Linked DNA regions of Coturnix japonica. The protein of the gene in region 5 interacts with the protein of the main gene of each other region in a biochemical or structural test. Links are inferred from orthologs where the notes say so. Each region holds a gene or a part of one and is shown on either strand. Other genes may lie near its edges.

The links.
Region 1: the proteins of PLCG1 (region 5) and PDGFRA form a complex in vitro, tested with the Homo sapiens proteins (2 studies listed by BioGRID, with this or other methods). The link is inferred for Coturnix japonica from reciprocal best matches to the Homo sapiens genes PLCG1 and PDGFRA.
Region 2: the proteins of PLCG1 (region 5) and FGFR1 form a complex in vitro, tested with the Homo sapiens proteins (4 studies listed by BioGRID and IntAct, with this or other methods). The link is inferred for Coturnix japonica from reciprocal best matches to the Homo sapiens genes PLCG1 and FGFR1.
Region 3: the proteins of PLCG1 (region 5) and FGFR2 form a complex in vitro, tested with the Homo sapiens proteins (2 studies listed by BioGRID and IntAct). The link is inferred for Coturnix japonica from reciprocal best matches to the Homo sapiens genes PLCG1 and FGFR2.
Region 4: the proteins of PLCG1 (region 5) and GAB1 form a complex in vitro, tested with the Homo sapiens proteins (2 studies listed by BioGRID and IntAct, with this or other methods). The link is inferred for Coturnix japonica from reciprocal best matches to the Homo sapiens genes PLCG1 and GAB1.

Annotation. Positions count from the first base shown.
Region 1 is NC_029519.1:59,003,202-59,007,448, reverse strand, and holds the end of PDGFRA (platelet-derived growth factor receptor alpha), read left to right. Parts: intron 1-327; coding exon 328-475; 3' UTR 476-3,660; downstream 3,661-4,247. UniProt on the Homo sapiens protein: Tyrosine-protein kinase that acts as a cell-surface receptor for PDGFA, PDGFB and PDGFC and plays an essential role in the regulation of embryonic development, cell proliferation, survival and chemotaxis.
Region 2 is NC_029537.1:3,706,659-3,710,773, reverse strand, and holds the end of FGFR1 (fibroblast growth factor receptor 1), read left to right. Parts: intron 1-372; coding exon 373-494; intron 495-578; coding exon 579-689; intron 690-780; coding exon 781-971; intron 972-1,045; coding exon 1,046-1,168; intron 1,169-1,252; coding exon 1,253-1,323; intron 1,324-1,418; coding exon 1,419-1,556; intron 1,557-1,886; coding exon 1,887-1,992; intron 1,993-2,060; coding exon 2,061-2,234; 3' UTR 2,235-3,153; downstream 3,154-4,115. UniProt on the Homo sapiens protein: Tyrosine-protein kinase that acts as a cell-surface receptor for fibroblast growth factors and plays an essential role in the regulation of embryonic development, cell proliferation, differentiation and migration.
Region 3 is NC_029521.1:27,526,067-27,530,313, forward strand, and holds part of FGFR2 (fibroblast growth factor receptor 2), read right to left. Parts: intron 3,415-4,247; coding exon 3,292-3,414; intron 2,272-3,291; coding exon 2,201-2,271; intron 755-2,200; coding exon 617-754; intron 1-616. UniProt on the Homo sapiens protein: Tyrosine-protein kinase that acts as a cell-surface receptor for fibroblast growth factors and plays an essential role in the regulation of cell proliferation, differentiation, migration and apoptosis, and in the regulation of embryonic development.
Region 4 is NC_029519.1:26,860,174-26,864,420, forward strand, and holds part of GAB1 (GRB2-associated-binding protein 1), read left to right. Parts: intron 1-671; coding exon 672-765; intron 766-1,092; coding exon 1,093-1,216; intron 1,217-3,332; coding exon of another isoform or gene 3,333-3,408; intron 3,409-4,053; coding exon 4,054-4,176; intron 4,177-4,247. UniProt on the Homo sapiens protein: Adapter protein that plays a role in intracellular signaling cascades triggered by activated receptor-type kinases. Plays a role in FGFR1 signaling. Probably involved in signaling by the epidermal growth factor receptor (EGFR) and the insulin receptor (INSR).
Region 5 is NC_029535.1:4,194,716-4,199,568, reverse strand, and holds the start of PLCG1 (1-phosphatidylinositol 4,5-bisphosphate phosphodiesterase gamma-1), read right to left. Parts: upstream 3,050-4,853; 5' UTR 2,958-3,049; coding exon 2,768-2,957; intron 1-2,767. UniProt on the Homo sapiens protein: Mediates the production of the second messenger molecules diacylglycerol (DAG) and inositol 1,4,5-trisphosphate (IP3). Plays an important role in the regulation of intracellular signaling cascades.

The DNA.
Region 1 (4,247 bases), on a different chromosome or scaffold from region 5:
CTGGCCATAATGTTTCCAATATGAAATACCTTATTTTGGCTCCTCTGTGTCTGCCAGAGGAAGGCAGCTGCTAACTTGACCAAGTCATAGCAACTGTCTGATGGTTCAGTTGGCATGTTTTACATTACATTTGCCTCTACAGCTCGATGACTTTGAACCTGCCCTGCCAGGCATGGGGGTTGGAACTTCATGATCCTTGAGGTCCCTTCCAACCTAGGTTATTCTGTGTGTGATTCTGTGTGATGTGGTGTTCAGTTCAATTCATAAATTGGGGTACGTGGTGCCTTTTAATGTGTATTTTAGCTCTGAGATCTTCGTCTCTTCCAGTTCCCAGACTTCTGAAGAAAGCGCCATTGAAACTGGTTCCAGTAGCTCTACTTTTATCAAGAGAGAGGATGAGACCATTGAGGACATTGACATGATGGATGACATCGGGATTGACTCCTCGGATCTGGTGGAGGACAGCTTCCTGTAATCCCAGACACCTTCTAACTGCACGCAGGGAAACTTACTGTGCTGTCTACAGACTTCTGTTACACAGAGAAAACCACTTCATTGCAATGTCAAGGATGTGAAGAGAAGATGGATTTGTACAGAGAGATGCCCAGTGATGGGCAAAGGAATCAGCCTGAGAATGAAAGAGAGAGAACTGTCAAAGATGGATTTTGTTAGTGTTGCTTCTTGCAGTACTTTATGAGCATCTCAGTGTTGTTTGCCATTCCAGCTGGTGGAGGACGATGGAAAGGCCATAAACAGACCAGTTTTGTGTTCCAAGGGCATTCCTATGACTTTGATGGATAGAATTTCCACTGCAGCAATACTTCATCATTGTAATTATGTAAATAACTATCAGCTCAAGGATCTTTTGAGGTGCACATTGAATACACTCCATGGATTTTAGAAAGGATCACCCATGAATTTTGTGCACTTCTTCCCTCAATCTCAGTGTCAGCTGCTGTTGAACTATCATGTGAATTGAAGAACATGCGAAAACCACTTTTGGACCAATAATGTCTGAAACCACAAAAAACTGACCGGTACTACAAAACATGTTACTTTTTAACATTAATGCAAGGGGAATAATAATAATAATAATAATAAAAACCAGTTTATAATAGGTGTTAGAAACCTAGTAAGTCTTTATTAACCATAGAAGATAGCTGTTTTCATGATAATACTACTACTGTTTTCCGTAACACTAAGCCTATATTTTATAATTCACTGTCCTTCAGTAAGAGCAATCTCAAGAAATATTATTAAGTACAAGGAAAAAATCATGACCTGAAAATTTGATGAAACAACCTTTATCAGGCCCTATGTAGTATGATAATTGCTCTGACTAGCTAAAACTTATGCAATATGGAGAAGTTGCATCCTGTAATATGCTAAGATTTAGTTTTCTATTTTGAATTGAGCAGCTTTTCTAATCAGCTGTACTAGAAGCAATTATTGTCCTCCAGTTAAAAGAACGTATAAGCATTCAAAAAAAATTTTTTTTAATTTGAATTTATGCCAGATTTCCCAAATTTTGGAGAGTGAAAGATCATGATAAACCAACAGCAACATCCCATTGTTAGTGTTTCATAGTTTCTCAAAAGAAATCTTATTCCAGGATTAGGTATGAAAAATCAATTTTATTTTTGAACGGCTCAAGGAAAAAAGACACCTCTCCCAGACTTGAACTCCAGATGATAAAAGCAGAAATAGTTCTGCAACAAATATCCTTGTCTTAATTTTGAAGTTTAAAGAGAAGCAGAAAACTTACTATTATCTTTGCAGACTCTAACTACAAATAGTAATTGCCTTCAGGTGTGATTTCTGGATGAAGGTGCATGAGAACAAACCTGCTCTCAGCCTGCAATAGTTATTTTTTGACACCACTTACAAGAGCAAAGTATTATGATTACTGCTATCACTGTACAGTGTTATTGATATTTTATGTTTTGGAAGACTTACACGTGAAAGAAAGGTACATCACTGCAAAGGGCCCCATCCTTTCTGGTGCTCATCTTTCAAACTTAACTCTAATTCAGTGCGATGAGTGCCTCACAGGACGCGCTCAGCATCTGGCATGGTGGAACAAATGCAAATGTGGTACAAACTCATCTCTGCGTTCAAGTACTTTTCCTAGGAAGTATGAAAGATGGACCAGCAGCAATTGACAACACAAGCTACCTGGATCTAAGTAACAAACTGAGCTTTACCTTGAAATGGCCCTAAGGAAAGCTATACAACTCCCGATCACGTCATTCATGGATGGTTGTGGATTTAAGAAAAATAAATGTAATATTGTCATTTCTACAGGCAAATAATTTTGGCTCTGAGTTTCAAAAATATCACCTGGTTGTGGCCACATACAGATGTCCTGCAGATGTGGAAACGTGACCTGAAGTGAGGCACCTGCATTTTCAGCCCTGGTCATGTTCGACAATCATAACAAACCATGAGCAATGACATGTCCTCCTTTCTCTGCAATCAACAGACCAATACCAAGTGTCTTTCTGAGCTCCGCATGGGGACAACTGTGAAATATAAAGACTCTTGAAGGGATAGCCTGGACACACAAGATGATGCAAAGTCCCCCTCCAGTTATGAACTATAAATTGAGGAAACACAAATTGTCTACTGGATATCCCAGATATCTGAATGGCCATTTGGGACCGCACATGCCTTAATTTGCATGTGTAGTCATTACAACTGCATGCTCAAATTAGGCAAGCGATTTCACCTGCACTTTTGCACATGGCCCAGTGTTCTTCGGGGTTTGAAAATCAGGCCTGGCATGTTTTACTATACCAGTTACTGGAATACAAGGACATTTTCCCATGGTCTCCCCTTCCTCTCATTGATTTCATTCTGTATTGCACAACATACATTGGGGCTAGACCAAAATGGTGGATGTGAACCAGAGCCGCTCATGAGTGTTTGTATACATTAATTTTACCTGTGGCATGAGTCTAGCCAAACCCAGCTTATTTCAGGGTGGAATCCAATAAACTTGCCGATAAACTGGAATGAGAGGCAGAGGCAGAGTGGGATTTATTAGAGAGGGAGAAGTGGGAGGAGATGATTCTTTAGTTTTACAATATTTTCAGTATTACCAACATTTTAGTTTATGGCTTAATTTTTGAGAAGCCACTGGAAAAGATAGTCCCAAATCTTACTCTAAGGTAATCTTATAATGACAATCAGTGTTAGCCTATCACAGCATTTGATTTGGAATGGCCAACCAATTCCTTACAGTGTGGTCTGCAGCTTGTACAAAATGGTCCTATTACATGGTGAAGGACGTGAGATATGGTGATGTTATACATCAATATGTATATAAGTATTTTTATATAGACTTTTAGAATACTGCCAAAACATTTATGACAGCTATATCACTGCCTTTGTTTATATTTTTTTTAACTGTGATATATTCCACAGGCACGTAACTGTTGCACTTTGAATGTCCAAAAGTTATATTTTAGAATAATAAAAAAGGAAGTGTTTCCAAAATGGTGGTTGTTGTGAAATATTTGAAGAAGGGCAAACTAGCCCGAGTGATGGTAGGCACAAAATGTATTACAAAATGCCCCTGTTGATATTTTGTCTTTGAAAAATCAAATCCTGTAAATAAAGATCTCTATATTTCAATAAATGATATATAATTTAAGGATATGTGAGGGGTCTATACTCACTTATTGAAAGACTGTTATAAGGGATCAGTCTTGCTTGACTTTTTTTTCCTGCCTGAGAATTTGGGTTAGTAGAACACTCTGCAAAGCCATTGGGCAGCAAAGACAGTTCCCTGAGCCCTTCTGGTGTGCACAGTGAGGAACCGCCAATGAGAATGTAACTTAACCAGTGAATTCTGTCCGTGTGAAGCTCCTTTGACCCCAGGCTGTGGTAGGTTTAGTGCTCCAGTGACCGACATCTGAGCTCCCCACATAAGATAAAATCCTTCTGGTTTCAGCACTGGTAGATTCAGTGGTACTGGTAGGTTCAGTGCTGCCTGTCTGCACGTGCTGGGGAATGGGGTGCATGGGATGCGAAAAACAGCACTGTGTCATGTATCTCCTATATATGTTCTGCTTCTTCTGATACAGGTGTACAATAAGAGGTTTTATGCAAAGGTTGTTTTTAATAAGGGACTAAAGCTGCCTTATGTCAGCCTTTAGTCTAAAGCTCTTGATGAACATGGAGGATGGACACATCCATCTTCAAATTGCCATGGTTTCTCTTCTTCTGGCCACTGATGCAGGTAT
Region 2 (4,115 bases), on a different chromosome or scaffold from region 5:
AGGGTGGGATAAGATGGGATGGTGTGAGTTGAGGTGGGGTGTGATGGGATGGGATGGGATGGGATGAGGTGGGATGAGGTGGGGTGTGATGGGATGAGATGGGTTAAGGTGGAGTGTGATGGGATGGGATGGGATGAGGTGGGATGAGATGGGATGGATTTAGGTGGGCTGTGATGGGTTGAGATGGGTTGAGGTGGGGTGAGGTGGGATGGGATGGGTTGAGGTGGGATGGGATGGGTTGAGGTGGGATGGGATGGGTTGAGGTGGGATGGGATGGATGGGGCAAGGTGATGGCACTGAGGTGATGGCACTGAGTGTGGTGGCCGTCCTGCTGTCCCAGCACGGCATTATGTCTGTCTGTCTTCCCACCAGACTGATCCTGGGCAAGCCGTTGGGAGAAGGCTGCTTTGGGCAGGTGGTGCTGGCCGAGGCCATCGGCCTGGACAAGGACAAGCCAAACCGTGTCACCAAAGTGGCTGTAAAGATGCTCAAGTGTAAGAGGGGATGGGATCGGGTCTGTGTGTGTATGGTGTGGGGTTCCAGGCCAGCCTCCCTGACTGCTGCCTTTGCTGCCACAGCCGATGCCACAGAGAAGGACTTGTCTGACCTCATCTCTGAGATGGAGATGATGAAGATGATTGGCAAGCACAAGAACATCATCAACCTGCTGGGGGCCTGCACACAGGACGGTGAGCGGGCGAGGGGGGGCTCCCAGCACTGTGCCCCCCATTGGGGCAGCTGTGGGGTCCTGGCACATGACTTAACCCCACTATCCCATAGGGCCCCTCTATGTCATCGTGGAGTACGCCAGCAAAGGCAACCTGCGTGAGTACCTGCAGGCACGGCGCCCGCCAGGCATGGAGTATTGCTACAACCCCACTCGTGTCCCTGAGGAGCAGCTCTCCTTCAAGGACCTGGTATCCTGCACGTACCAGTTGGCAAGAGGCATGGAGTACCTGGCCTCCAAAAAGGTGTGAACCCCTCACTGTGGGTGTGCAGGGATGGGGATGTGGGGCATCATCTGACAGCCCCATATTCTGCACAGTGCATCCATCGAGACTTGGCAGCCAGGAATGTGCTGGTAACCGAGGACAACGTGATGAAGATCGCTGACTTCGGGCTGGCCCGTGACATCCACCACATCGATTACTACAAGAAAACAACAAATGTGAGTGGTTTGATCCTGTTGTGCCACGCAGCCCCTGGCCGCCCCCATGGGCAGTGCTGAGCTGATGGGGTTCTCTTGTCACAGGGCCGTTTGCCAGTGAAGTGGATGGCCCCGGAGGCTCTGTTTGACCGAATATACACTCATCAGAGTGATGTGTGAGTACAGGGTGCTGCTCCTGGTGTAGCTGAGCACCCGGAGCTCTCTGTGTTGCCCATGGTGGCTCATGCTGTGCCCATATGTCTGCCTGCAGTTGGTCCTTTGGTGTTCTGCTGTGGGAGATCTTCACGCTGGGTGGCTCGCCATACCCTGGTGTGCCCGTGGAGGAGCTTTTTAAGCTGCTGAAGGAGGGACACAGGATGGACAAGCCCAGCAACTGCACCAACGAGCTGTGAGTGCTGGGGGGGCAGTGGGTGATGGCCTATGGTGCCATCCATGCTGAGCTCATGCTCTGTCCTGGGTGCATGCAGGTGCAGGATGGGGAAGGCAGATGCTCAGAATTACTTTTGCAGCAGTCCCCTTAACTGCAAAACATCAGCTAAATCTATTTGTGATGACCGACATCACATCTCCCTTTGCTGTCGCTCACTCTGGGGGTGAATCTCACAGTGACCCCAGGGTTACACCCTCACCCAGCAGCCCCACATCCTTCCTTGGGGGGCTGAGCCCCACACACTGCACACTGCTGAGGGATGCTCTTGGCTCCCCCCACCCCATACAGGTACATGATGATGCGCGACTGCTGGCACGCCGTGCCCTCCCAGCGCCCCACATTCAAGCAGCTGGTGGAGGACCTGGACAGGATCGTGGCCATGACCTCCAACCAGGTAGGAGAGACCCCCACGCCCCTCTGTGCCCCACAGAGAATCCCCCCCCTTAAGCTTATCCCTTGCAGGAGTACCTGGACCTGTCGGTGCCATTGGATCAGTACTCACCCGGCTTCCCAGCCACACGCAGCTCCACCTGCTCCTCGGGGGAGGACTCGGTGTTCTCCCACGACCCACTGCCCGACGAGCCCTGCCTGCCTCGCTGCCCCCCACACAGCCACGCAGCTCTAAAGCGGCACTGAGGCTCCACACTCAGCTGTGCCCACCCGGCACCTCCGCAGGGAACTCTACCCAAAGGTTTCGTTTGCTGTTTGCCTCTTGGTTGGCTCTATTCTTTCTATTATCATCCATTTAAACCTTTCCCATGAGGTCTGTGCTTGGACATCACCACGTGGCGCTGCCCTATGGGGCCTATGCACACTGTGAGCATCCCAGTGCTGCCCAGCCCCACACATGGAGCGCCCCATGCATCAGTGCTATGCCAGAAGTCCCGTGTACATAGCTAAAATATGTATAAATATGAATATATATTTACATGTCTTTTTAAAAGGGTTGTTACCAGAGCTATACCAGTTTGGTAGGAAGGTACTAGTGGCTGGTAGATATCAGTTGCTATATATTAAAACAAAAAAAAAAAACAAAAAGAAAAAAAGAAAAAAAAAAGAAAAAAAAATCCATATATTTTGCTACATTTGCTGTTTTTATTTTTTTAAATTATGTTCCCGACCCTGTTTCAGTTTTAGATCCCTCGATAAGAATTGCTGCTGCTGCTTCAGTTTTATATGGGGTTGTATTAAACCATAATAATAACGTGTCGATGCCTTTATGGGAGCACGTGGCCACGGTGCCAATGGCCTTTCCCTCCCCCCCCCCGGGGGGGGCTGCAGTGGGGCAGGGTGCAGCCCCAGCTCCACACCCCGGGGCTGTGCCTTACCCAGACCACCCCATGGGGAGGGGGGGGCCATGGGGTCCGCTGTGTCCTTGCCTTCCCCCCCCCCTCCCCTCCTACCCCTTTCTCCGGTCCCTGGCTCTGGGATCGCGGAGTCAGGGCGCTATTACTTGAAAAGTTTATTTTGCCTTTGTATGGAGAAATATTATTTGTTGTAAACTCTTCTGTAATGAATCTGGAATTCTTGTAATTATTAAAGACTTTAACCAAGAGGTGCCTTTTGCCATCCCCATCCATTGTGCTGGGAGATGCTTGGGGTGCTGGGAAGCTGCTGCCCCTTTGCTCCAGGCTTGGGGACGGCTCCTTATAAATACACCCCATCATCCAACAACCAGAAACCCTCAACTTTCACCTCCTGTGCTACCAAAGCAGTCAGTGCACGTGGCTGTGATGCGGGGGTGCTTCCAGATGTGCTGGATGCTGCACACCAATGGCCTCGCCAAGGGCTCGGGCTTCCAGCTGGGCTCAGGCTCCAGTGATAGAGATGGGGGATAAGGATCAGGGTTAGGGTCAGGGTTATGTTAACCCTCTCCCTGCTGCTGTACCCCCAAAGGAGCTGAGCCTTGGTCTGGTGGACCCGCAGTGGTTGGGTTCGTCTCTGACCCCATACCCTAATGGTGCTGTGCCCACATCCGTGGCCATGTGCTGCTTAATGCACCACGGCTCTGGGTCGCAGCTCCGTCTCATCGGCTCTTTTAAAAGCATCTGCTTGTTGCTATTTCCATGTGTAAATTAAATCGATCAGCCGCTCTCCCCCCCAGCCCCCCTCTCCTAAATTAAGTAGGGCTTTTAATCAAGTGATTTATGTCGGATCCGCAGCCCGGGATTAAGCTCACAGCAGCCGCGGGGGGAGCGGGGGGCAGGCCATAAATCAGTGCTCTCTTTGGGAGCGGTTTGGCGGAGGGGAGCTCTGCAGCGCGTGTTTACATCATCAGAAAGTGCTGCTATCACCATCTTCTGCTCATTTCCTGGGGTGAGCAGGAGGGCAATTAAATATGATAATAAGCAGAGCGGCTCCCTCAGCACCGCAAAGCCTTGCAGGGAGATGGGGGGGGTCTTGCTGCTTGGCTAAGGGGGCACAAGCGGCCTTGCAGGGGGAGATGCTCTGCTGCCCCTATAGCAAAGACATGGGATGGGTTGCCCCACCTGGCAGCCCCAGCAGCACAGCGCAATG
Region 3 (4,247 bases), on a different chromosome or scaffold from region 5:
CCTGAGTCTGCATTCTACCGTGGCATTTCAGCAGCATTAAATTACATGTGCTTAAATCTTTTATCATGTAACAGACTGCAGCCTTTGTGAAGTGAAGAAATTAAAATGGGGGATAAAAGCAAAAGCTATCAAGAGCTATATTGAAGTATTAGAAAAGGAAAGCACTCTCCCACTATCTCTGGTAGACAGTGCTGTGCTAATGTTAAAGCTCCCAAATGCACTTTTTTTGTGTACAAAACCAGCTGGTTGTAGCTTATACAGGATAAGAGTCTGTGTGTGGTATGGCTATGTGTGCCATTTATGAATTTTCACATTTCATGAACCCAAACTGAGTAAATAAGGGTCTAAAAGTACTGACAAAGACTTGCTGATAGATGAGCTCATCCATTTTCAAAGGGATCACAGCAGGGTGTTTAAAATGTCCTCCACCAAACATTTCCTGGAGACCTTTCCATAGTGTTTCTATACACATCTATATGCACACACATTCACTATTTCAGAGCCAACAATTCTGAAAATGCTACATTCTCCTGGGGTAGCATTAACCGTGTGATGGCTCCTTTCCACGTCGGGATATTCTATGATTTCAGTGCAGTCTGCAACCCTTGGTCCTTACAGTTCATTGGTGCAGTTGGCAGGTTTATCCATTCGGTGCCCTTCTTTAAGCAGCTTAAAAAGTTCCTCCACGGGGATTCCTGGGTAGGGAGACCCTCCCAAGGTGAAGATCTCCCACATTAGCACACCAAACGACCATCTGCAAAAGAAAGATAAAACAGCATTAGGAAAATTGCCTTCCCGCTGTAAACAGAGTCATTTAGTTATTTGTTTATTTGTTTGGTAAGAAAACGAAGGAGGGAGAACTTCAGCCAGTTTTCCTGCCTGCTCCCCACCTCCAGAGCTGCCTCGCCACGTCCCGCTGGCAGCCATGGGCCCACTGCCAGGCTTCTCTGCCAGGTAAGCAACAGCGCAGAGCCTGCCCTGGCCCCGAGCTGCTCTGCAGTTCTGCTAGCTTTGCAGCAGTGTATTTTAGTAAACTGTTTGCACAAACTTACAATAATATTATCCAAAGGCACCGTGGGGCCAAAACGTCTCCCAGTTCCAACACCGAAATGCCCGTGCTCTGCGCTTGTTGAGAGCTCACAATGACTTCCAGCTCTAAACCAGCCAAGCCGTTTACTTCACATTCACTTAAATATTTTGTCAAGATGTTATTTTAAAGCAAAAGTTGGCTCCACCCTTAACCTGTGTATATAGCTTCCTTCATAAATAACATAAAGATGGCAGGAAAGGCCTCGGTAAATGCTTTTCTTAAGGAGAGAACAACTTGAGAAGAGCATCCAAGTTAAAGGAGAAGGCACCTCTTATTTTCTCTACCCTGCTCCTTTCTATTTTAACTCTGTGCTGTCATGCATAAGCTTTTACACCTGTGCTGGGAAGCATCCAGCCTTTTACGGCTAACAGCTTCTCTTGGACAAATAAAAAGCATAAGATCTTCATCTGCACTGAGTAAAAAATACACATTTACTTTGAGCTCAATGCATGCGAGCACTGAGGATGGGCCCAGGAACTTTAATAGGAAGCAGAATTATGGGAGCTGTTGCATCAGCCAGCTACACCACGCACATTACAAGATCCTGAAGTGCCAGAGATCCAATGATTTCCTTCTGTATGTGAAGCACTGCTGGGATGCAGCATCTCTAAAATCTGGGAAAGCACTTCTGGTATATCCAGGCTATGTTTTACTGTACACAACCACAGCACAAATTTTCACAAGATTCTTTTTTCTTTTTTTTCTTCTTTCTTTTCCCTCTCTTCATTTTGTGTTGTTTTTTTTTTAACCTGAAGGAAGTGCAGAGTACATCGAAAGCCAAGCAAATTAGATAGACTCTTTGTAGCTGCACATCCGTAAATAAGTTCAAGGGGGGAAACTTCCGCACTGACAGAAGGAGGTTAGCATTTTCCACCTTTCATGTGCTTTGAAGCCAGGCAGATTAGTAACAGAGCACTGGTTAGCAGTCTACCATAAAATCCTCACTTTCTAAGGGCAAGTCCTGTTCCATCTATTAATATGTGAAACAAAATGAAAACGCTTAAAGGGAAAGGATAGCAGGAAAATACATTCTGAAATATGCCAAACTTTAAGGAACGTGAACCAGGTTCCCCTCCTGCCCTTCCAGACTACACAAATAAAGTCACTTACACATCGCTTTGGTGCGTGTAAACTCTGTCAAACAGAGCTTCTGGAGCCATCCACTTTACTGGAAGCCGTCCCTGTATATTTGGAGGAGAAGGAAAGAGGAATGAAAATGAAAGTCCAAAATGAAGATTTTAACACTGATTTTTGTTTCAAATAAACACACAGTTTACTTCAAAAACTTTCATTAAAATAATAATAAAATACCCTCTTATAATTGAGTCTGCTTGCACAAAGTCCATTCACTGAACCCAAGAATTTCATTTTCCTTTCCCCAAAGCCTGCAGCCACAGCTGCCTGTTGCTCTGCATAAAAGCTCTGCTTTGCTTAGAGCCAAGGAGCTGTACCAAATTTGATATGAAATGGATTCAGATCCCCTCCAGCGCCAACAAATCCCTACCTGGCTGCTCCGCCTTTTGGAACTACAAGGACTCTGATAATTACTGTTCAAATGCCATTCATCACTCAGTGCTTTATTTTTATAAATGAGCCAGGCAATGTGATTAATTAATATTTCGTATTAATGCTATTTCGTATTAACAGAGTCTGAAGAACTGAAAGAATTCTGCAAAGTTCCCGTCTTAATTTGGGACAGGTTTAACAGCCAAACAACAACAGGTATTGAAAATCCATTTTCTCAAGCTTTAGACCAGCTTTAATGCTATGGTTATTCACATCCATGCACAGGCAAAATGCATAACCCTGTATTGTGGCACTACTACACAAACAGGACTTTTATTATGGTTACAGCTATCACTGTTTGTGCAGTGTTTTTCTTAATCCTAGGGCTGGTTCAAAATGAGCTAGAATCAAATTTCCACCTATTTCAAATGATTGGAGTCGAGGACGTACAACATGGGTAGTTGTATTCTAGCAGTTATAATAAATCATAAAAAATAGAGCCTATTTGTTTATCTTTTTAAACTAACTGTCACTCTAAGAGGGGGAAAGAATTGCATATGTCCTTGATGTCTGTTTTCTGTCTGATTAAAAGCAAGTCTGCTGGACAAGAAGCCCATTAAGATTATAACCATAGTTTTGAAGTGAAACATTGAAAGAAACACTTGTTCCCAGAGATAAGCAAATCATCCACTTACATTAGTAGTCTTTTTATAATAATCTATATTGTTGATGTCTCTGGCTAAACCGAAGTCTGCTATTTTCATGACATTATTTTCAGTAACCAAAACATTTCTTGCGGCAAGGTCTCGGTGGATGCACTGGAGAGAAAGACAAGACAAAAACACCCACTGAAATACAACACTGCAAAAAAAACCTGGAATTATTTCTAACCATAACTAAATCATAGATTTTAACCCAATTCCTTAGGTTGTAAAGCCACGTGTTTACTGCAAGCCCGTGCAGTATGATTGCTGTAGTTTCCCAGATACAGGGAACCCAGCATTTTCCTTGCAAATGCTGTTAATGAGAGTGTCACTGTGTGCTTCTCTTACATGATATTGGATCAACTGGACTAAAACCTGACAATCCGGATCAGCACAACCTTCTTTAATATGAAAGATCTTAAGAGATGTATCTCTAGTAAGTAATTCTTAGCCAGATGTCTGGGGTGTGTATGTTTACTTCAACCATGAGACTACGGCAATTTCACTTGGGAAAAAAAATAAAGGCCATTTGGGCTGGGCTGTTTGCTTTTCAAACAGCTCTGATACTGAAACTCCAACCAGTATTTCCCTCAGAATTTTTCTTCCTTCATGCCAGCATTATCCTGAAAACTTGGAGCTGATATTTCCGACATTGAAAGGAAGTTGTGGCAGCTCGGAGTATTATTCTAACCTTTAAGTAGGAATAACTTTTGGGGTTTAGACAGAAATCAGGCTTCTAAATCAGCATCAGCAGTGCCACAGTAGCAGAAGTAGCACAGGTCAGCCTTCCTGCCCTGTCCTTGTCCTCAAACCCTACAAGAACCTGCTATGTGACACAAGGAGCTCAAGGCGCTTGCCCAAGTACATGTAGCTAATGTCCACTGATAAGGCAGAGTGCCTTGATGAGTATGGCACAGGATCTAGAGCAGATCTTTCTGCCATTCTAG
Region 4 (4,247 bases), on a different chromosome or scaffold from region 5:
TATTTCTCACTAATACTCAGCTTGTGGTTCTGTTCTGAAAATGGAAATTAAAAATGGCAACTTTTCTGGCATGATAGCTGTCACTGGTGGCACCAGCCTGCTGCTGCTCTACTCTTCAGTTGAACTCTGAAGCAAGCCAAACACCTTTTGGCATTGCAACTAACTATTGGCTCATCTCTCCATTTTGCAAACTTAATCATTGTTGAAGATTTTGTTCATACTTTGCCCTCACTGCACAGATTTCCTTATGGATTAGGTTTCGCAGCTCAGAGTTTGCATAATAATAATTGTCCACAAGCCAATAAAAGCATACGGAGTTGGCTGTGCTTGCACTGTAGGCTGAAACTGTCAGTCAACCCTATTTGTGCTTGTCAGTTCAGCAAGTCATGCCACAGAACTTGATGCCATTTTCAGTCTTTTTTCGAAATAGAATTACTACATACCTGTATATCTTGCAAAATTCTTAAATTGTGTCTTTTTTAAATAGTGTTGCTTTTTAACTGGAAAGTGTAAAATATAAGTTAATGTATCATAGCTTTATGAGAATGGAAGTGTCTCTTCTTAACTAGTGCTTATCATTCAATAAACAGTATTTTTTTGACATTAAAAATTGGAAAAGCTATTAAATTTAAGCTTGCTTAAGAATGTTTTATGCTTGTGTTCTTATATAGCAAAACCAGCTCCTCTAGAAATAAAACCTCTGCCCGAATGGGAGGAATTACAAGCCCCAGTTAGATCTCCTATCACCAGAAGCTTTGCGCGAGAGTAAGTTTCCTAGCTTTTCTTCATTTGGATTGTTTCTGTTGACTATAGCATTAATAATGTATATATACATCTGTGTTGTATTTTCAGCCTGTGTAATATAGATTCTTTTGGAACTGTGTGTATGTGTATGCATGCATTAAGACAGAAGTATGTCAATGTTAATTCTTATTTTTTAATAATGTATGTGAAGGACTGTGTAACCAAACAATGAGGCACTCTAGTAGTCTTGAATGACAATTTCAGCTCTAACGTGCTTATTTTTATTGTTTACCAGGAGGTTTAAGATATTCAAGATGTATTGTTTGTAAAATAATTCCTGGTAATTAGCTCCTCCAGGTTTCCCATGTCTCCCAGACCGGATTCAGTTCATAGCACAACTTCCAGCAGTGACTCGCACGACAGTGAAGAGAATTATGTATCCATGAATCCAAATCAGTCCACTGAAGACCCAGTATGTAAAATCTACATCTTAACTACTCTCTTCCTGTGCAGTCCTTACTTTTAAATCATGCAAACACAAATCCTTCCATTCAACATCACCTTCATTTGTATGTCTAGATCAAAATTTAAAAAAAAAGAAGAAAAAAAAAAACCTCTACTGCAATTGTAATTTTGATAAGATTTCATTGAGGAAGAGATGAGCATAATCATATATAGGGAATATGGTTAGCATACGTTCAGACTGCAAAATAGATCAGCAGATGACTTTATTTTTCTCTTCTGTAGAAACTGTCTTGTCTTCTGTAGATAGTTCTAGAGCATGCGACAGTTCAATATCAGGGCATCAAGGGAAATGAGCTATCATAGGTCCTCTGAGACAGGCTTAAAACCTTTATTAAAAAGACATTTGAGAAATGTGGAGGGTCCGTGGCAGTGGGAGGGGAAGTTTGATACGTTGCTTATTTTTCCCCTTTTGGGGAGAACTTTTTGGATGGAGGTATCTCAAATATTTAGCATTCACTGAAGAGCTAGGTAAGAGAAGTTACTGATATGCTGTGGTTTTCTGTTCTAGTTTTCTTCAGGAGAGAGTACAAGGGGGAAAAAAAAAAAAAAAAAAAAAAAAAGTTAAGTGAAAGGTTAGCAGTAAACCTAGGCCTAAAATGAAACCTAATCCATTCAATCCTTGAAGCTCTGGGGGAAAACCTGCACCGCTACCTCGGTTTTTGGGTCAGAGTAGTTTTAGTGTGATGACCATCTTTCTGCTGCTTCGACTTCTTATTAGGGAATATGTTTTTCGTCTTTAAAGTTGTATCAAGCTATGGTTCTTTGAGGCAGAATCTGCTTACCTCTGTTTTTGTTCTTTTTATTACTCTGCTGCCTTCTATGGCATGTGCTATCCCATTTCACTTAACCCTTGGCTCTTCACAGTGCTGCTTGCTACCCTATTCCCTGCTGTCCCAGATACCCTCCCTGGTCTCCTCCAGTCTCTTTCCCCTTGTGCTCTGTAGCTGCCTGTGGATACCACCTTTTACGACCCCCCTGAGTGAGCCCCACCTGCTGATTTCTCTTTGGCACTTGCGACTCAGTGCAAGCTCACGAGCCTGCAGGAGGTCCTGGCTCATGCTTAGATCAATGTCTGTCAGACCTGACAGCAGCACAGGCAGGCTTCCTAGGTGAAGTGCGCTTCAGCTGTGGGGAGCCAGTGATGTAAAAACTTAGCTCCTCACAGAGTACTGTGCAAGAGGCACTGGTAAGTAATCAGTAACGTCCCCTTATACAGATGCAATAAATGTCCTTTTTTGCAAAGGTTTGGAATTGCCTCTACCCACAGTAAAACTGCAGCATTGCAATTAGAAGTGGGAATTTCTGCTGATTCTTACAGTGGGTGCTAAGATAGTGTTTTTAGTGTTGCAGCTAAGACAGCCTATCATCAGTATCCTTCTGTTTGCTTGCACCATTCATTTTCCTGGGTTGTTCTACAGATTTCCTTTCATTCTCATTTAAATGTATTTTAAGTTTGGTTTCTTATACCTGTGTTCTACCTGTTTAGTTTGCTTAAGATAAAAAGATGTTTAATGACTAAGAGTTTTTTATTATTATTATTATGCTGGAAACCTTAACACAGATGCTGCTTTTATGTTAAATATGTAGAAATATATTTAAAGAATTGGGGTGACAAGAACTTTGCCTGTTGTTTGTTTGTCATTGTAACCACTTAATACGTTAGATGATACAGACATAATGTATAACAGCATGAATTTTAAAGGCCCGGCCTGTTAAGCTCTAACCAATAAAATATTTTATTTCCTAGAGAATCTGAATATTTCCAGGTATCTCAAAGCCCTTTTTAAAAATATGCATAGACTTTTCAGAATTTATTTATTTCATTTTTTGCTTCAGCTACATCTCAGTGGGAACTCCATACTTTTAAAATCCTTTTCTGTCATCAGCTTTGAATCATTTCATTTGGACACACTGCACTCCTGTTTTATTTAATAAAATCAGCGATGTTCTGCTCTCTCTTTCAAGTTGCTGTCAGCCTTACCCTTCTGTCTTTCCTTCTGCCTTCCTCTTCATTTTTTGCTGACTGCTGCCCTCTGTCTTCCTTTTTTTTCTTTATCTTTTAGAGAAGAGTCCTTCTATTGTACTGTTCCTATAACACCTGTTAAGAGGGAGGGATCAGGCTGGGAGAGGACAGAGGAGGTGAGGTTGTAAAAGTCTGGGCTAATTGAAATGTAGGTATATGCAATACAACTTCAGTTTAGGCAGTCCTGCACAAATTATCCAAAGTGATAATCTTTTAGTTTTGTTAACTTGAATAATGCATTTTGGTTTTAAGCTTAGTTATGATAGATTCGAGTGAAACTGAAAAGTCTTGTTTGAAGCTTTGCTACCATTGAAAGGCTGAAACCTTCTAAAATATATAATGGCCATTTAAAGTTTTTTGTTGTTGTTGTTGTTTGGGTTTTTTTTAAATTGTAATTAAGAAATGTTAAACTTGAGACGTGTAACACCAAAACAACTCCCTTATTACCTCATGATATGAAAGGGGTATTAGGTGGAAGGTACAGATTGATTTGATGACAATCTTAATTATGGGGGGTGGTTTTTGGTTTCCTTCCGTCCATTCCCTTTGGCTTTTGATTTTGTCCCAGGCTTAACGTTGTTCTGTTTCTGTTTAATTTAACTGTATCTATATAACATCAACAAAACTTGCATGGTTTAACTGGGTGTAAAAACTCAGTTCTTTAACCTTCAATGTTTTGACAGGTTATAATAAGCATATTTGATAATTTGGATTGTTAGCATGTACGTTTGCAGCTGAAGTTCTCTATGTTACAATTTCAGAATCTGTTTGGTAGCAACAGTCTTGATGGAGGAAGCAGCCCCATGGTAAAACCTAAAGGAGATAAGCAAGTAGAATATTTAGATCTGGACCTAGATTCGGGAAAATCTACCCCACCTCGTAAGGTAAGCAAGTCCTGACTTTTCAAATGACTGGCATTAACAGCTTGGAATTTCTTTACAAGTAGCTGCTGGGA
Region 5 (4,853 bases):
GGGCCACGTCCTCACTCTGCGTCCTCATCACAGCACAGCAGCATCGCTTCAGTCCCCTCCCATGGGACACAGAGCTCTCTGGAGGAGCAGATCTCAGCCCAAGAGCAGTGCCTGCATTCCCAGGGCTGCTGAACACCAAGGAAGGCTGTGCCCTTTCCTTCAGGGCAGCAACCACGTGCAGACCTGGCCTCCATCTGCAATCTGCCAGATAGGCAGCAGGCCGCCCTCCTGCTCTCCTGGAGCCATAGGACACCGATGGCCATCGCTGGTGGCCGCACGCTGCGCCCTGATAAGATAACGGGGCCGAGCGGGCGCTGTGCTGGCACTGATAGCAGCGACCACCCCGTGGTGCACACAGCAGTGCAAAGGGCAGCAGAGGTCAGCAGCAGGGGGGGGCTGCTCTGCTAATGGGGCACACACATTCCCAGTCCTGATGGGAATCCAGGGCTTTCTCGAGGTGTTTACCCCCTTCCTCCCCTCCTTTCTCTCTCTCCTATAAAACAAACATCTGCTCCAAATTTGCAGCTCGTGCTCTGAGCAAACTCTCCGAGTTTTCAGACTCGGTTCAAGGAAAACAGATCAATTAGGAGCCGGCCCGCAACCCCCCCAGGATGCAGAGTTATGAAGGCAGGACCTTCTTACATTAAAAAAGAATTACATAACACAGGAAGTAGGGGGGAAAAAAAAGTGCATAAAAGACAAAAGGCTCCGGGGATCAGCTGTGCTGAGCTTTGGGTGATTAACTAAAGGCACAGAAAATGATCAGAGCTCTTCCCACCGAAGCAGCCCGGCCCTCAGCGGGGTTATTAGCAAGAAGGTGATGCGCTGATAATGGGAGCTGGCTGAAAACATTGGGCGTAGAGACAAATATTGATGGAGAAATGGCTCCGTGTGTGTGTGTGTGTGTGTGTGTGTGTGTGCACAGATTGTGCTTTTTGTACACGATGTTGGGTTTGGAAAGGCACAGAGATGGAGCTCACAGCTTTCCAAGCGAGATGCTCCCCCCAGTCTGACCCAACCCCAGAGCAGCCCAACGAGGAGCAGAGATGGGCCCATGCACACAGAGGAGGTTCTTCATCCCGGCCCAGCTGGCGGTGCCGCTGCTGAGTCAGAGCTGCTGCTGCTGGGAGGGCAGGGGACCCGCTGGCAGTGAGTGCTGCCCATCACACAAGGTCACTCTTTATGTGACACAAGGCTCTACACAAGGGTCACCCAGCCAGGCCCCCCCTCCTCCTGGCACCAAGGTATCGCACTGACATCCCAACCAGGGTCACGCTAACAGTGACCTGCCTGAGCCTCTGTGTGTACTGAGCACCAGCACTGATGATGCCCAACCCAACATCCCTCCGACCCAACCTCACTGCTGCTGATGGCAGGACGTCCTGCACACAGAGCTTTGCTGCTGCACCGAACACTCACGGAGATGAAACTCTCCCACAGAGGGATGTGACCCAAGTCTGAGAGCTCTGTGTTACTTGTAGACGCTCCCTCATTTTGAAATGGGCCGAAGGATCATTAAGGTTTGAAAAGACCACTAAGATCCCCAGCCCGTCCCACCGTGCTCACTGAGGGCTCCATCCATGCTGTGCCATGAGCACAGAACGGCTGGTCCCAGCAGTAGAGTGCACCGCATGGGAGGGAACCTCAGCTTGGAGTTCAACAACCCCCGTTTTTCTTTAGCTCAAAACCTATGGATCTTTACAGTTATGCTTATTTGATCATCTCTGTCCCTGGGATGAACCCTCTGCTTTTTTCTGCCCCGCTCCTGGCTGTTGGCAGAGCAGCAGAACCCCACAACCACATCAACGGCACAGCTGAGGTTTGGGGGATGGATGGATCCCTTGGAAGGCACAGCCCCAGCCCCACAAAGACTCATGAGGGTCTGTCCGTGGGGAGGAGGGAGCCTGAAAGCTCCGTGGGGAGATGGGAGAGATGTTGTATCTCACCATCCCTATATGGGGCGGCCATTGGGAGACACAGCGCTGGAGATGGGGACTGAGAGCACAGAGCAGGACAGCAGCACCGGGAAGTTTCCCAGCTCTGGGCCTCCCCCCGCCCCTTCCCACCTCTCCCTGTGGTCTCCCACAGCTCTGACAAATCTCTGCCCCCGCAAAGCACCGTGTGCGGGAAAGAGCCGCCGCCAACCGCGTCCCACTGCAACCCTACAGCCCTGCAACCCTACAGCCCTGCAACCCTACAGCCCTGCAACCCTACAGCCCTGCAACTCTGCCGGGGGCTGCAGCGAACCCGGCGGTGCCGAACCCGGCGGTTCCCCATCCTCGGCCGCGCTCGGCCCCGGTTTACGCTCCTTCCATCCCATCCATCTGTTGCGCTCGGTCGCAGCACACAGGACGCTCGTGCAGCCCCTTTCGGCAACGAATCCCGCACGGAGCCGGGACGGATCCGAACCGAACCACACGGTGCGGAGGGGCTCGGGCTGCCCCAAGATGGGGGGGGGGGCACCGAAACCGGACACCGTCACGTGCGGCCGCGGGATGCGCACGGAGCTGCCCGGGGGATGGTCGGGGGGCGGAGGGTGCGGGGCTCCTTTTGTCTTTCTCCCCCCCAACCCCCTGTTCGCTTTTTCCCTCCCCTCCCCGCCGAGCCGGGGGTGGGTGAGTGGGGGCGGGAGGGTGCGGGGAGGTTCCCACCGCCCCCAGCCCGCAGGAAGCAGGAACACCTCGTCCTGCTTTTCCTGCCCGGTGCCGCGTTCCCAGGGCGGGGAGGCGCTGCTTGGAGCTGGGGGGTGGTCTCGGTTCTCACTCACCGGCTCCCTCGGTCTTGTCGGAGCCGCGGCTCCAGGTGACCTGCCGCGTTTCCAGCTTCACCTGGAAAGTTTTCCTCTCGGGCCGCTGCGACTTTTTGGAGTAGAAGAGGGTCATGACGGTGCCCACCTCCAGGCTGCGGCACAGATGAGCCGCCTCCGCCTCGCTGGGCGCCCCCGACCCCGCCGCCATCAGCGCCCGCCGCTTGCACCGCGCTGCAACGCGAACAAAGGGGAGCGGAGCGCCCGCAGCGCCGCCACCGCGCCCCGACCCGCGGCCGGGAGCTGCGGGAGGAGGAGGAGGAGGAGCCGAGGGGCGGAGCGCGGCCGACGGACGGCGCCTCCACGCGTGGGGCCCGAGACGTGCGGGGGAGGCGGGGAGCGGCTCGTGGGTGGGTGGGTTGGGGCCGCCGCTCAGCTCCGCTTCAGGCGGACCCACGCGTGGGTAAAGCTGTTGAGATGAAGCGCCTCGAGGTGGCTGTGGGCACGGAGGAGCAGGTGATGGCGGTGGCGGCTGCCCGGGGCTGCGGGCATAGAACCCCCCTGTCCCCCATCCCGGCCCCCCGGCCGCGCTCAGCTGGCTGCCAGATGTGAGCGGCCAAACGCGGTGTGGGGGCCGTAGGGGCAGAGGGCACGGCAGTGGGTCAGCGAGGGGCTCGTAGCTCGCAGTGTCCCCCGGTGTGTGGGGCGGCCATGGGGGTGGGTGGCTGCCGGCACCCTGCAAAGTGAGCTGCTGCCTCTGTGCTTGTGCTCCACCAGGCTCCAAAGGGACACACTGTGAGCCATCCCTCCTACGTGAGCGCCCAGGAATCGCTGTGCACCGTGGCAGGAACCAGCACTAAGAAGCCCACCCCAGTCTCCAGCGAACAGCAGCACTGGGGCTGTTGTAGCCCAGGATGGAAGCGGTGCCAATATGGTGCTTCTCCTCCTGAGCTCTCCAAAGCCCTGCAGGGTTACTGCAGCCCCCGGATCCCTCCAAGAACACAGGCTGCTTTTGCCTCTTGGCTCACCTGGTTTCAATTTGCAGCCTGTGAGGCCACAGGGGGGATGGGGCTGCAGCCAGCAGGGTTTGCAGCCTTCCCTGTGCTGCCCGCAGCGCAGCTGGGCTGGCAGAGCAGATCCAGTTCCAAGGTGTTTCACCCTTTCTGCTCCCATCAGTGTTCGCTGCCTCAGTTTCCCCCATGGGAGAGTCGTGGGCTCAGCCCCAGCACTCAGCAGTGTGGGATGGGAGGTTGGTTGGGGCAGGCTGCAAAAAGAGATTTCTCACATGCTGTGTTCTATGGATACAAACCTCAACTCAGCCCTGCTGCGTCCATCCCAGCCCTGCCATCCCCCAGTGCTCTGCGTGGCTGTTGGGGTGGCTGAGCCCCTCTCCTGGTTATGGGGCAGGGTTTAGGGTTAGGATGGGGCCCTGTGTGACAGACCACACGGACAGCAACGCTCCGTTAAGTTGTAGGAATTTATTTTAAATAACCTACAGTTGATTAAAAGGGAATTCATGATAAAAATAGAAGATACTTGTTGGAGGAAAAGGCTGCAGGAAAATGGTCTTCGCACACACACTAACGCTAACAACGCCTCTAAAACTAATGATTATAGCAAAAAATAAAATAAAATAAAACAACAAAAAAAAAAAGGGTTTCACATTAAAATTCTGCTTTGTCATTTTTTAAAAGTTTTTTTTTTTTGTCTTTTTTTTTTTGTACACAATTACAAAAAGGAAAGAAATAAAACCAAAATAAACCCCCCCCAAAAACCCTCCCCAAAAATAAAAGCCCTCAATGGTGCTGATTTGCCTTTAGGGATCGATGCTCGTTTCCCTCGAAATTTTTGACCTGTGAAACTTCTTATTTCTTTTTTTACACGATAAAATCTTTCAAGTAAAAGAGAGAGAAGGGGGGTGGGGGGGAGAGGAGGGGCTTATTGAAAATCAAAGTGGGGAGGGGAAGGAAAAAGTCTGACAAACCTAAAAGGAAATATTCCTGAAGCGTACAGAGCGCTCACAGCAAAGCGTGACGGGAACGGCGCTCCCTGCCCATTCATTGCATTGGTGCTGGGATCCCATCGCACATCACCCCCCCCCCCCCAT